Linked DNA regions of Arabidopsis thaliana. The protein of the gene in region 2 interacts with the protein of the main gene of each other region in a pairwise test. Each region holds a gene or a part of one and is shown on either strand. Other genes may lie near its edges. The genes, in order: AT3G14190 and HBT.

Region 1 (4,771 bases), on a different chromosome or scaffold from region 2:
TCGTAGTTTTGTATTCGATACAAATTCTCAGCGGTCATCTTCGTTTGCGACAAGTTCGATGGGGATGAATAATGATCCTTTCGGATATGACCCGAGAGCTCATTCCTTCTCTTTAGGGGTAAGGAACTGAAACCACTTCAAACTCTTCCTTTTCAGAGTCACTTTATAATACTCTTCTTGATGAATGATGAATTGGTGTTGGTGGATCAGCAGGTGGACCATCAGCAAGAGTTCAAGAAAGGGAAAAACAATGGCGGAAGAAGAAACAGGAGAAAGAACAATGTTCCATCGGCTGGTCACGAAACGTCGTCGTCAAACAACTATGGAGTCCCCACCTCATAGCCACTTCACACCATATTTTTTTGCTAACTCATCTCCCCACATTTGTCGACTAGTCGCAGACAAGATGAGTGGTTGTTGTCTTCTCAATGAGGAATACATCGAAACTCAAAGGGTCGTCGTTTTGTAAAACTACCCACCTCCTTCTCTAGAATCTTCTTATTTTTATTTTTGTTTCTCCTGTGCTGTCATTGAATTGTTGTCTCCTAAAAGCAAGAATCGTTAAAGATCATTGAGATCGATGAAATCAATTGCTTTATGTTGATCAAACACAGTTCCTTCTATATTCTTATTAGTTATTGATTGTCTCAGCATTTGATTACATAAAAATTTACATTATTTTTTGTTCCATTTTGGTCGAACCTTTCTTATCTTACCAACCATTAGAGAGTGAGAAATAATTGCTTCTGAGACTTGAATCAAAATCTGAACAACGAGTGGTGATCCAAAACGATGGCATTTCAGGAAAAGAGTTGCTTCTGAGACTGAATTAGAATCTGAACTTGAACTTTCTGCTTACTCAGTTGACGACAGTAAACTACCATTATTGCTGCCACCGCGGGTAAAAGTGGATGAGATGGAGCTTGGAGAGGTGGCAATGGCAATAGTTGGATTTGCAGCAAGTTATGAAAAGGTGGTATAAAGCTTAAACAAGTGGTGGAGCTGGAGAAGGAGAAGAAGGAGCTTGAGTTGCAGAAAATGCAGTCCTTTAAAGCTCAATTAGAGGTGTTACGGAACAGTCGCGAGGATAGAGACAGTGAGAGAAGAGTCAGAAGTCACCAATAGTGTCAAGGATAACGGCAATGTAAGTTCACAGTTGAAGAGATGAATGTTTGTAAAAGTGAATTCTGATGATGTTTAGGATTGTGGCTTGAAACATGACAGTGTAAATCGAAACTTCAGATTCTGAATATGGCACAAATTTGATGAATAGTCAAAATACTTGAAAAGATACCAACTTTATTTCCTGAAACCAGTTACAAAGTGATAGACACAGAGTGATTCATGAAGAGCTGAACAAAAGATAAACGCCACTACTACTATTACTACTTCATCTGAAGGATGAATTTTGAAGACATTAAGAAACAGAAACTCAGAAGAGGTCGTCAGAGTCTTCTTTAAGTGTGAATTCGCATGAATCGAACCGCCAAGCCAGAGGAGTGGAAGGCATCATAGAGCCATGACGGATTGGAGAGCGCCATGGAGTCGAGTTCTTCAGCCAATCAGAAAACTTGGGCGATGCCATCTCTTCTGGTTCTTCGTAAGTCAGATCGTCCTTAGCATCCATCTGAAACCAAAAACACATAGGATAGAGTCATAAAAAGTGTCACTTTAAGTTCCAAAACTAGATTAAAGATGCAGTCTCACCAAAATCTCCATCAAAGACAGAGAGATAGACATTGTTTTTTAAGTACAGTACCTTTTCAATGTCCCAATTGAGATGCTTCTCCTTGATGCTGGAACCTGCAAGTACAAAAGATCAAGTTTAGCACAAGCTTACTCGCAAAGATTGGTTAAACATCATAGCTTAGAAGATCTAAATACAATACCATGATGAAGTAGCATGAGATCAGCAGAGTAGTGATCATCCCAAAGATTTTGCTGTTCTTTGATGCATTTGCTGTGATCATGTAAAAACCTTTCCCCAGCTATATCAATCTCTTTCACAGCAGCAGAAGCAATTTGCTTGTTCTTTGAAGAAGCAGCAGCTTTCGCATGAATCCCAGACTTGTTTGTAATATCATTCAGAGCCTTACGAGCTCCTCCAGGTTTCTTCTGACCAAGTACAGTCCCTTTGGATTTCACAGAAGCAGCAGTGACAGACTCTGTAAATAATAGCCAAGAAAGAAAATGTTAAATCTTTGTTTCAAAGCAATATGATTTAAAGAGAGTAGAGAAAGATTAACTACTTTTGCGATGAATTGGAGCGTTCTCGTCTGGGAAGATCATTTGTTGAAGAGCGTTCATGTTCGCCATATGGTTTTAACTGTGAATCATCAAAGAACCAATTGCAGAAACGAAGATTTGATTCCAGAACTGACGATTTTAAGCAATTAGAAACCCTAAAAAAGGTAACAGAAACCCAACTCGAAATCGAAACAAAGATCGTTTTTTTCACAAAACCCAATTCGATCCTCAAGCAAATTTAACACCACAGACCCCAGAAACCCAGAACGAATCAAGTAGCGACATACGAAAAGAAGAACAAACAATCGCAAGAAGAACAGTCTATAATGTGAACCTAAATCAGAAGGAAGAAAGAGATTACCTTTGTAAAAGTGAAGAAGTTTCTTGGTGAGATTCTTGTTGGAAGAGAAGTGTATAAGAAGATGAAGAAGAGCGCTTAGAGTGTTTAACGGTAACTTTTCAATGTTGTTCTGACGAAATAATGAAGAACCTCCGGGATTAGGCCAAAAAAAGTAAATTTATAGAAGAAGAGAAAAAGTTTCTAGCCGTTGGCAGAATATTTTAATGCAGGCCTAATCAAGAATTGGCCCAGGTACAGGCCCATCACATAAATCAAATTGACGGCATCAAACTATCATGTAAGATAGAAGCAAAACATGTCACACTTCTCTAAGTTATCTTCTTATCGGCTAGATTTATCATCATCCTTGATTAAATCTCCTTAATTTTGGAAGGTTAAATTATAGGTAAAGTGTATATAATTAGTCTAACCAAGGATATTCAACGCTTCTCGTTCCTGTTCCTTATATAAAACCATTATCCTCACATAAAGAAGACTTAACAAAAAAAAAACTCTTTTCAAAACACATTAGAGACAATTAACAAGAAAAACCCTTCTAATAATTTGATCAGAGATATGGGTTTTTCGCACAAGTTGTGGGATGAAACTTTGGCCGGTCCAACGCCGGAAAATGGTCTCGGGAAGTTGAGAAACCACATATCCGGTGAAAGTGCCAACCGGAAGTTGATGGTGGATCTGAAACGTGTCCCGAATTCTCCTGACCGTTCAAGCAACCCCGTTTCCCCTTTGACTCTTATGTTACCTTTTTTAAAAATCCTTTCTGATCCACTTTTTTTTTATCTTCTATGCTTGTGTTATGAGCAGTTAAAACCCTATATATTCATGTAAATTAAAGACTTTGCAAGGTGATACATATGTTCATAGTCATTATAAGCTTTTTTTTATTATTTTTTTTTTTTATTTTGACATCCATAATCATTATTAGCTTGAGAGTATTATGGATTTGTAAATTAATGATTACCAAAATCATTTGTATGCAGCTGGAACACCAAGTGAAACACATGCTACAAGTCTCAATGCTTGCGATTGGTTTGATCTCCCTCTCTTTTCTTTCCTCTCAAACTATACTTCATTTTATCCAACGCATTATCGCTTTCATTAGTACCACCATATCTAATTAACGTCCGGTAATACTGCAGGATTGTGCTAAACGCATTGGACCGTTGAAAAATATTACAAGGTATTTCTACGAGAAGAAGAAGTATCCCAAACTACTTTTCTTTGTATATATATATTTGCTGTGTACATAACATAATGGTCGCTTTTGGTGTTTTGAGATTTGAGAAATATTAAATTTCTGTTTGTTTCACAATTCACGAAGATTATATAAGGTCTTTTTGAAACATAGTATTTCTGGAATGTTTAAAGTTGTATCTTTGACAATGGTGAAAAGAAAAAATGATACTAAGTGATAACATGCTAACGTAGCGTATGGAAAGCCCAATAAAAACCCATGCCCAAAGTAAATAACATCCACGTCACCGTTCTTATTGTTAAAAGAGAGACTAATTCGAATCGATTTAACGAATGAAGCAAGACAACGAAGGAAGACAACTGGAAACTATCGACGGACTAAAAAAAGTCTACGACCGATATTGAAACTGACGGTTAGGCTAAGGGTAATTTCGGTACATCACCGGAAAAATGGTTCACGGGGATAGTTCCGGTAATTATAGTAAAACTAGATGGGCTTTTCCGTCAATACACTTCCTCATCGGATTACGAAGAAATGGGGAAATTACGATACAAACCCATCTTTTACCCCTAAACCGAGCCGGCAACTTTACCGGTGACGGAATCTTACCTCTGACCTACCAATCACGTCATTCCACGTCATCTCCCCGTATCTTCTCACGTCCTTCCACGTGTCCCCTCTACTCACCGACGCCGTCTCCTTCCCGTTTACCCCTCCCGAACAGAATATTAACCCAAACCCTAACCCTATCTCCCTCTTTCACGAGCTTCTGACTCAGATCCGGCGATATCGAATTCCATGGAGGACGATGAAGACATCCGATCTCAGGGTTCCGATTCACCTGATCCGTCTTCCTCCCCGCCGGCGGGACGAATCACGGTTACGGTGGCTTCGGCAGGTCCGCCTTCTTATTCTCTGACTCCTCCGGGTAATTCGTCGCAGAAGGATCCGGATGCGTTGGCTCTGGC
Region 2 (7,812 bases):
CCTGAGCTAACGTCAGGACTAGACAAGTGTATGCAGCATTATGTATCAAAGGCGAAATCATCCTGCGGTAAGCAGTTGATTGTTTAGTTTTTGGAATAAAAAAGCTCACGCTTTGTTCATTTCACTTATGGAGTTTCTGGTTTTGTTTTTATATGGTTTCTATTAGGCTCGCGGAATACGTTTCTACCCGTTTTGCCTGCTTTAACAAGATGCACGGTCGGGTCCAGACTACATGGTGTATTCAAGAAAAAGGAGAAGCCAATGGTAGCTTCTCACAGGAGAAAATCACAGCTGGGGACGGGTAATGACTCGGCGGAAATACTTCAGTTCTGTTGCAGGATCAACACTCTGCAGTATATCAGGACAGAGATCGAATCATCTGGGAGAAAAACATTGAATCGTCTCCCGGAATCCGAAGTTGCAGCTTTGGATGCTAAAGGTAAAATATTTGAACAGTCGATTAGTTATTGCTCGAAAGGAATACAGCAATTGTCTGAAGCAACTGCTTACAAGATCGTCTTCCACGATCTGAGCAATGTTCTCTGGGATGGTCTGTACCTCGGGGAAGTTCCTTCCTCAAGGATTGAGCCGTTTCTTCAAGAGCTCGAACGGTGCCTTGAGATTATCTCCTCATCGGTTCATGACAGAGTCCGAACCAGAGTCATTTCGGACATCATGAGAGCTTCTTTCGACGGGTTCTTATTGGTCCTCCTTGCAGGTGGACCATCGCGTGGCTTCACAATTCAAGACTCTGCTGCCGTAGAAGAGGATTTCAAGTTTCTATGCGATCTTTTCTGGTCAAACGGAGACGGATTGCCTTTGGATTTGATCGAGAAGGTTTCGACGACTGTCAAGAGTATACTTCCGCTGCTGCGCACGGATACAGATTCTTTGATTGAACGGTTTAAAGCAGTGTGTCTGGAGAATCATGGTTCTGACAGAGGGAAGCTTCCGTTACCGCCGACTTCTGGTCCGTGGAGTCCGACAGAACCAAACACACTTTTAAGAGTATTGTGTTACCGTTACGATGAACCTGCGACTAAGTTTCTGAAAAAGACCTATAACTTGCCGAGGAAGCTAACCTGAGAGTGACCTACTTACTACATTGGTACAAAACCCGGTTTAGTTTGAAGTGTGGAATATATTTTGGTTAAAGCGGCTAGCGATTGGTATTTGGCAAATTAAATTACTTGTACAAGAAAGTAGAAACGTTTTAGTGAAATATTCTTCTTTTGTACTAATCAAAAGCTTGTGGGCTTTGTTATATGTTGTCAACTGTTATAAATTTGTATATTTAATACCTTTGTTTTTCATCTTTCTTTTTCAAATTTATCAGATTTCTGATTGATAATTCAAGATTGCAACGATGGTTCATGAAATGGTCCTTTAAAAACTCATAATGTTTATGTGATGGATAACATCAGATATATGATGATATGGTTGAAACTTGAAGTATTCTAACTTGAAGTCATGATTCATGATCCGTTTAACAACGTTTGAAATGAGTATCAGAAAATGATTATCGTAGATATGAAACTTTTCCTGCAGACACGTTCTAGTATTTTGCTAAAATAATAGTTTGTTGCTTATTCAACCAAACAAAAACACTTGTTCAAGTAGCGCAATATCTTCGATAGTTCGATTCATTATTATGATACCCTTCTTCGACTTCTTTGATTTCCTCGAGTTCTTCTCCATACGTCACATGACTCACATCGTCAGCGATTTCATGGCAATGTTACATGTGGTGGACGACATGGAGTATCCGCGACCGCGAGATGATCTTGAAGAGGTGTTTGCTTTATGAATGACGATGAATCGGCTCTGTTTTCCTGTTTCCAACGGTTGTAATCACACCATCATCGTTGTCTTCATCTATACTAATATTCAAATGGTCAATTATAAAGCCCAATAAGCTAACTAAGCCCAAAAATGAAAACACACGGACTCAGCCCATACAAATTTTAACACTTAAGGCTAATGGGTCTGTCACGTGCGGAATAGACTGAAAACAGAGCATCGCACGTGCCGCATCAAAATTTGAAATCACGACGACTTCAAAAAAATCCCAAATGGTAAGAAAAAAATAAAAAGTTGCAGAAAAAACAGAAAACCCTCTTTTCTCTCTCTTCTCTCTCTCTCGAGGAAGAAAGGCAACAACTATGGAAGCTATGCTTGTGGACTGTGTAAACAACAGTCTTCGTCATTTTGTCTACAAAAATGCTATTTTCATGTGCGAGCGTCTCTGCGCTGAGTTTCCTTCTGAGGTAATCACCCTCTTCTTTCACTCTCTCTCTCTGATTTTACCTCTCTAATTCAAATTCTGTAAATCGAAGCTCTTGGAATGGTAAATTTGATATTTTTGGGTTTGTAATTCCTCTGGGTATCTATGAATTCGTCGAAAGTGCGTCTCTTTTTGGATTTGGAATTCGATAGCTTCACTGTGTTCTTCGAGATTGATTTTGGTTTCTTACCTTTTAGCCCTTTGTTTTCAAGATCCGTGTGTTCAATTAGGAGATGAATTCGTGTTCTTTTCTCTCTCTTGTTGAATTTGTTTTCTCTAGTAGCTGTGCTCAATGCTCATTACTGATTTGGTCTTTGGAAAATTTGCATTTTGAGGGTTAATGACTTTTGTCCATATATGTGATCTCAAGTTTAAGTATTTATTATCCTTGGAACTTAGCTATGAGTCAACTGTTAGAGGAATGTCTCTGGGATTATCTCAAGCTTTGTTAAAATTTGGGTTAATACAGCTTCAATAGTAGTTGAGAAAGTATTCATTCATTCAGCCTTTGGTCTGGAATATTTTCAACATTCGTAGTGGTTGTCCAGTTTCTAGCTTCAGTTAGTAGAAATCATGTCAATAAATGATTGGCCTTTTTGTTTGATCACTTTCTGAATTTTCCTCTTATATAGGTTAATTTGCAGCTATTAGCCACCAGCTACCTGCAGAATAATCAAGCTTACAGTGCATATCATCTGCTAAAGGGTGCGTGGCATTGTTTCTTGACTTGTTGCTTGTTAGCCTTTTAGTCAGAATTTTGCACCTTCTTTTGTTAGGTCGTTTTGATTATCTTTGTATATATATTTTTTTTTTGTTATGTAAAGGAACACAAATGGCTCAGTCCCGATACTTGTTCGCATTATCATGCTTCCAGATGGACCTTCTCAATGAAGCTGAATCTGCACTCTGCCCTGTTAATGAACCTGGTGCGGAGGTATTTAATGTTCTCTGGTATTTTGCCTTTATTCGCTTACTGAATGTCATTTTACAAAAACAGTGTGTCAGTTTCTGGACCTTATTTATTGATTTAGTTCAGTGAAGATAACAACATGCTTCTGATTATTGTGCAGATCCCAAATGGTGCAGCAGGCCATTACCTTCTTGGACTTATTTACAAGTACGTTTTTTGTTCTGTCTATGCATTTTTTCTTGATTCTGAATGGCTTAGATGAGATGATTCCTCATATATAACAGTGACCTTTTAGGTATACTGATAGAAGGAAGAATGCTGCTCAACAATTTAAACAGTCCTTGACAATAGACCCTCTACTTTGGGCTGCATATGAGGAATTATGTATATTAGGTGAACATAATCCGTTTTCTGCATACTTCACAGATATGTTATGGTTCTCTTACACTTTTCTGTCTGCTCAACTTTCAGGTGCTGCTGAGGAAGCAACTGCAGTTTTTGGTGAAACAGCTGCTCTCTCCATTCAAAAGCAGTATATGCAACAACTGTCAACTTCCCTCGGCTTAAACACTTACAACGAGGAACGTAATTCAACTTCTACTAAAAACACGAGTTCTGAAGATTATAGTCCAAGGCAGTCTAAACACACACAAAGCCATGGCCTTAAAGATATCTCCGGAAATTTCCATTCTCATGGAGTTAATGGAGGTGTTTCGAACATGTCATTCTATAATACGCCTTCGCCAGTGGCTGCACAGGTAATGTCACACAATTGTCGTACTGCTTTTTTATGTAATACAACTATATCTCCATCTGTTGATCACACATTCTGTAGTACTTAGGAGATTTGTGCATCATGGGTGTTGATTTCACAGCGTTTGTATCTGTTTTTTCTATATCTGTTATGCCAAAAGAATGGGTTGTCTATTCTTTTGACTATTAAAAATGGGGTCTTCATTATGTTTTAGTGTCTTTGGTTTGGCTTGTTAATTTTATCAACCTTTTTAGTTATCTGAATAATAACAGCTGTAAGTAAATGCTTTTTTGTATTTTTGAAATTGTAGCTATCCGGTATAGCTCCACCACCACTTTTCCGGAATTTTCAGCCAGCTGTTGCAAACCCAAACTCCCTTATTACTGACAGTTCTCCAAAGTCCACTGTTAACTCTACTCTTCAAGCACCTAGAAGAAAGTTTGTAGATGAAGGAAAGTTACGTAAGGTAGGATTCACATAATCACATATCTCTACTTGACATCATCAAATCATAATTTTGAATTATTGGTCTTTCTCTGTAATAGTCTATTTCGTACTCGGGATGAAATTTTCTATACCAACTTTCTTACCGTGAGTGCATGTCTCTTATGTTTGCAGATTTCTGGCAGACTATTTTCTGATTCTGGTCCACGACGGAGTTCAAGACTGTCTGCTGATTCAGGGGCAAACATTAATTCAAGTGTTGCAACAGTAAGCGGAAATGTGAACAACGCTTCCAAGTATTTGGGAGGTTCTAAATTGAGTTCTTTGGCACTTCGTTCTGTAACACTTCGGAAGGGACACTCCTGGGCAAATGAAAACATGGATGAAGGTTGTGACATTCCATGCACTATACCACTATATTGTTTGAAATCTGCCCTTGTGTGACTATTGTTATCATGCCTTCTATTTTTGGTGTCTGCATATTTGTAATACCGTCATTCTGATGGGTTTAGGGGTCCGTGGGGAACCTTTTGATGATTCAAGGCCTAATACTGCCTCAACGACTGGTTCTATGGCTTCCAATGATCAAGAAGACGAAACAATGTCGATTGGTGGCATAGCAATGAGTTCTCAAACAATCACAATTGGTGTTTCGGAAATTTTAAACCTCCTTAGGACACTCGGAGAAGGGTGTAGACTTTCATACATGTACAGGTGTCAGGTAGGCATATTATTGTTCTCGTGAATTATGCAAGTGAGGTGAACCTATATAGGCTTATCTCATTGTCTCCTTCTGCTTCTGGGTCGTTCAGGAGGCACTGGATACGTATATGAAACTTCCACATAAGCATTATAATACAGGATGGGTTCTTTCCCAGGTAACTAGTGACTCTTTCTCTTTTAGGCTGCCATATATGGATATAGCCTGAATCAGTTTTACTCTAGTGGCCTGTGATAGTTATTGTTGAAAGGTTTATATACACATACTATGGCTATTAAATGTAGGTCGGGAAAGCATACTTTGAACTAATTGACTATTTAGAGGCTGAAAAGGCATTCCGTCTTGCCCGTCTGGCTTCTCCTTATTGCTTAGAAGGAATGGATATATACTCTACGGTCCTCTATGTAAGTGTATTATCCTGGTTTCTAAACATGCAATCTCGGATGAGTGCGGAAAGAAATCACATTTATGTAAATTTTTCATCAGCAAGATATGATATTTATTTGCAGCATTTGAAGGAAGACATGAAGCTGAGTTACTTGGCTCAGGAACTAATATCAACCGATCGCTTAGCTCCTCAATCTTGGTATTTTTTGTCGAAGTTGTTTTTCTGATTAACGTTTTCATTTATTGTTGGTAATAAGAGAAATAAGCAATCAATTATGTAGGTGTGCTATGGGAAATTGCTATAGCTTGCAAAAGGACCATGAGACCGCACTGAAGAATTTCCTACGAGCTGTTCAACTGAATCCAAGATTTGCATATGCACATACCTTATGTGGCCACGAGTAAGAGAGCCTCTATCCATTTGACTTTGTCTTGCACAATGTGCTTAAAATTATCTGGTTATTGGTCTAATTGACACTTTCTATCTTTACTGTCTCTGTAGATACACAACTCTTGAGGATTTTGAGAACGGAATGAAAAGTTACCAAAACGCACTTCGTGTAGATACAAGACACTACAACGCATGGTACGGGCTTGGAATGATATATCTACGCCAAGAGAAGTTAGAGTTCTCAGAGCATCACTTCAGAATGGCTTTCCTAATAAACCCGAGTTCCTCTGTTATAATGTCTTATTTAGGGACATCTTTGCATGCCTTGAAGGTTATCTTATTACTTTCATCTTATCAGGTCTACAAGAAAAACAATCTTTGAAGAATGACTAAATGCTTCTTCTTGTTTTGTGTTAATAGAGAAGTGAGGAAGCACTAGAGATAATGGAGCAAGCCATAGTAGCAGATAGAAAAAACCCTCTTCCAATGTACCAGAAAGCTAACATACTTGTCTGCTTAGAAAGATTAGATGAAGCTCTAGAAGTTCTTGAGGAGCTCAAAGAGTATGCGCCTTCAGAGAGCAGCGTTTACGCTTTAATGGGCAGGATCTATAAGCGGCGAAACATGCACGATAAAGCCATGCTTCATTTCGGTCTAGCTTTAGATATGAAACCGCCTGCAACTGACGTTGCTGCAATAAAGGTTCGAGTCTTTAAAACAGAGTCGTCCAATGATGGTTTTTAAATCTGAAAATTCAAGGATTCATAGCTTAAACTGGTTATTATTGTCTGAAACAGGCTGCAATGGAGAAATTGCATGTTCCAGATGAGATCGATGAGAGCCCGTGAAACCATAGCTACTCCAAGAACCTTGGGTATGAATTAATGTGAGACCGTTGCTGCTCCACGAACCATGGGTATGAATTATTTAGTGCAAAGCCTACCTCTTTTAGGGAACTAGTTGGGTTTGAATGTAGTTTTGTTACCAAACCGTAACACAGCCACAAGAGCCCACATGACTTGAGTATGTATCATGAGTTGATCTGTATGTTGTCCGTAACACTACCTAATCGCAATATATGATTTTTCCACATCTACATATACATTTTACCACTTAAACCTTGTTCATCAAAAGATAATTTATTTCGTTAGTTTTTAAACCTTGATTCAAACTTATATCTTTATTTTCCAAGAAATATCTAACAATATTGATCGACTGAGATATAATCAAAAGATACGGCTTCGACCACATACTGTACATGGTTTAAATTAACTTGTACACAAAAAAGTCTTTTTATGATTCATCTTTGTTTTCAAATTGAAGAATTCCCTAAGTAATATATTTTGTTTTTATTAAATGAAGCAGGGACACACAGACACAGTATAGTAAAGTAATCAGCGAATATTTTTACCATAAAAGTAAAAATTTAACAATTTAAAAAAAAAAAAAAAAAGTCAACAATTATTCTCCCAAAATGAAGCTGAGAACAAATCACGGATGTTGAATATATAATTCACGTGAATTATAATCTCATGATGATTATAGAAATTTTACGTAATTTACGAGATTTGCACTCAAAAATGAAGAAGAAGAAAAACGTAACTTGCGAGACTTTTGATACGTATAATTCTATAATTATATGATTTTTTTTTCTTCCGAACAATCATAACTCGACTTTCGGTGGGATTAACGAACGTCACTGATTCTGACTTTTGTGGTTATTTGCCTCAGTTTATATCGTTTGAAAAGTAACGGCGACGACTACCAGTAAACATTTACGACAAATCCTATGATTGCCTTTGCTTTTATAACTTTCTTTTTTTCTATATTATATGTTTAATCCTAAAGTTTGTTTTGGACTCTTTCATACATATGTTTATAATTGCTTATCATGTTATAACCGGATTTCATAAAACTAGGG

What was found.
Region 1: the proteins of HBT (region 2) and AT3G14190 interact in a two-hybrid assay, tested with the Arabidopsis thaliana proteins (one study listed by BioGRID).

Annotation. Positions count from the first base shown.
Region 1 is NC_003074.8:4,708,452-4,713,222, reverse strand, and holds AT3G14190 (uncharacterized protein), read right to left. Parts: upstream 2,741-4,771; 5' UTR 2,609-2,740; exon of another isoform or gene 2,327-2,608; 5' UTR 2,317-2,326; coding exon 2,250-2,316; intron 2,166-2,249; coding exon 1,890-2,165; intron 1,804-1,889; coding exon 1,760-1,803; intron 1,628-1,759; coding exon 1,433-1,627; 3' UTR 654-1,432; downstream 1-653. Other genes in the region: AT3G14200 (Chaperone DnaJ-domain superfamily protein), read left to right, coding at 1-118, 214-342; ASIL2 (sequence-specific DNA binding transcription factor), read left to right, coding at 4,602-4,771. UniProt on the Arabidopsis thaliana protein: Required for the maintenance of centromeric cohesion during interkinesis, until meiosis II. Required for regular configuration and segregation of sister chromatids in meiosis II. Also required for centromere cohesion during meiosis I.
Region 2 is NC_003071.7:8,631,251-8,639,062, reverse strand, and holds HBT (CDC27 family protein), read left to right. Parts: upstream 1-1,762; 5' UTR 1,763-2,162; coding exon 2,163-2,267; intron 2,268-2,916; coding exon 2,917-2,989; intron 2,990-3,108; coding exon 3,109-3,218; intron 3,219-3,354; coding exon 3,355-3,401; intron 3,402-3,489; coding exon 3,490-3,587; intron 3,588-3,665; coding exon 3,666-3,952; intron 3,953-4,258; coding exon 4,259-4,414; intron 4,415-4,566; coding exon 4,567-4,780; intron 4,781-4,904; coding exon 4,905-5,113; intron 5,114-5,204; coding exon 5,205-5,270; intron 5,271-5,397; coding exon 5,398-5,517; intron 5,518-5,622; coding exon 5,623-5,699; intron 5,700-5,781; coding exon 5,782-5,901; intron 5,902-6,002; coding exon 6,003-6,222; coding exon of another isoform or gene 6,223-6,273; exon of another isoform or gene 6,274-6,311; coding exon 6,312-6,593; intron 6,594-6,688; coding exon 6,689-6,739; 3' UTR 6,740-7,104; downstream 7,105-7,812. Other genes in the region: AT2G20010 (Gls protein (DUF810)), read left to right, coding at 1-67, 167-1,086. UniProt on the Arabidopsis thaliana protein: Component of the anaphase promoting complex/cyclosome (APC/C), a cell cycle-regulated E3 ubiquitin-protein ligase complex that controls progression through mitosis and the G1 phase of the cell cycle.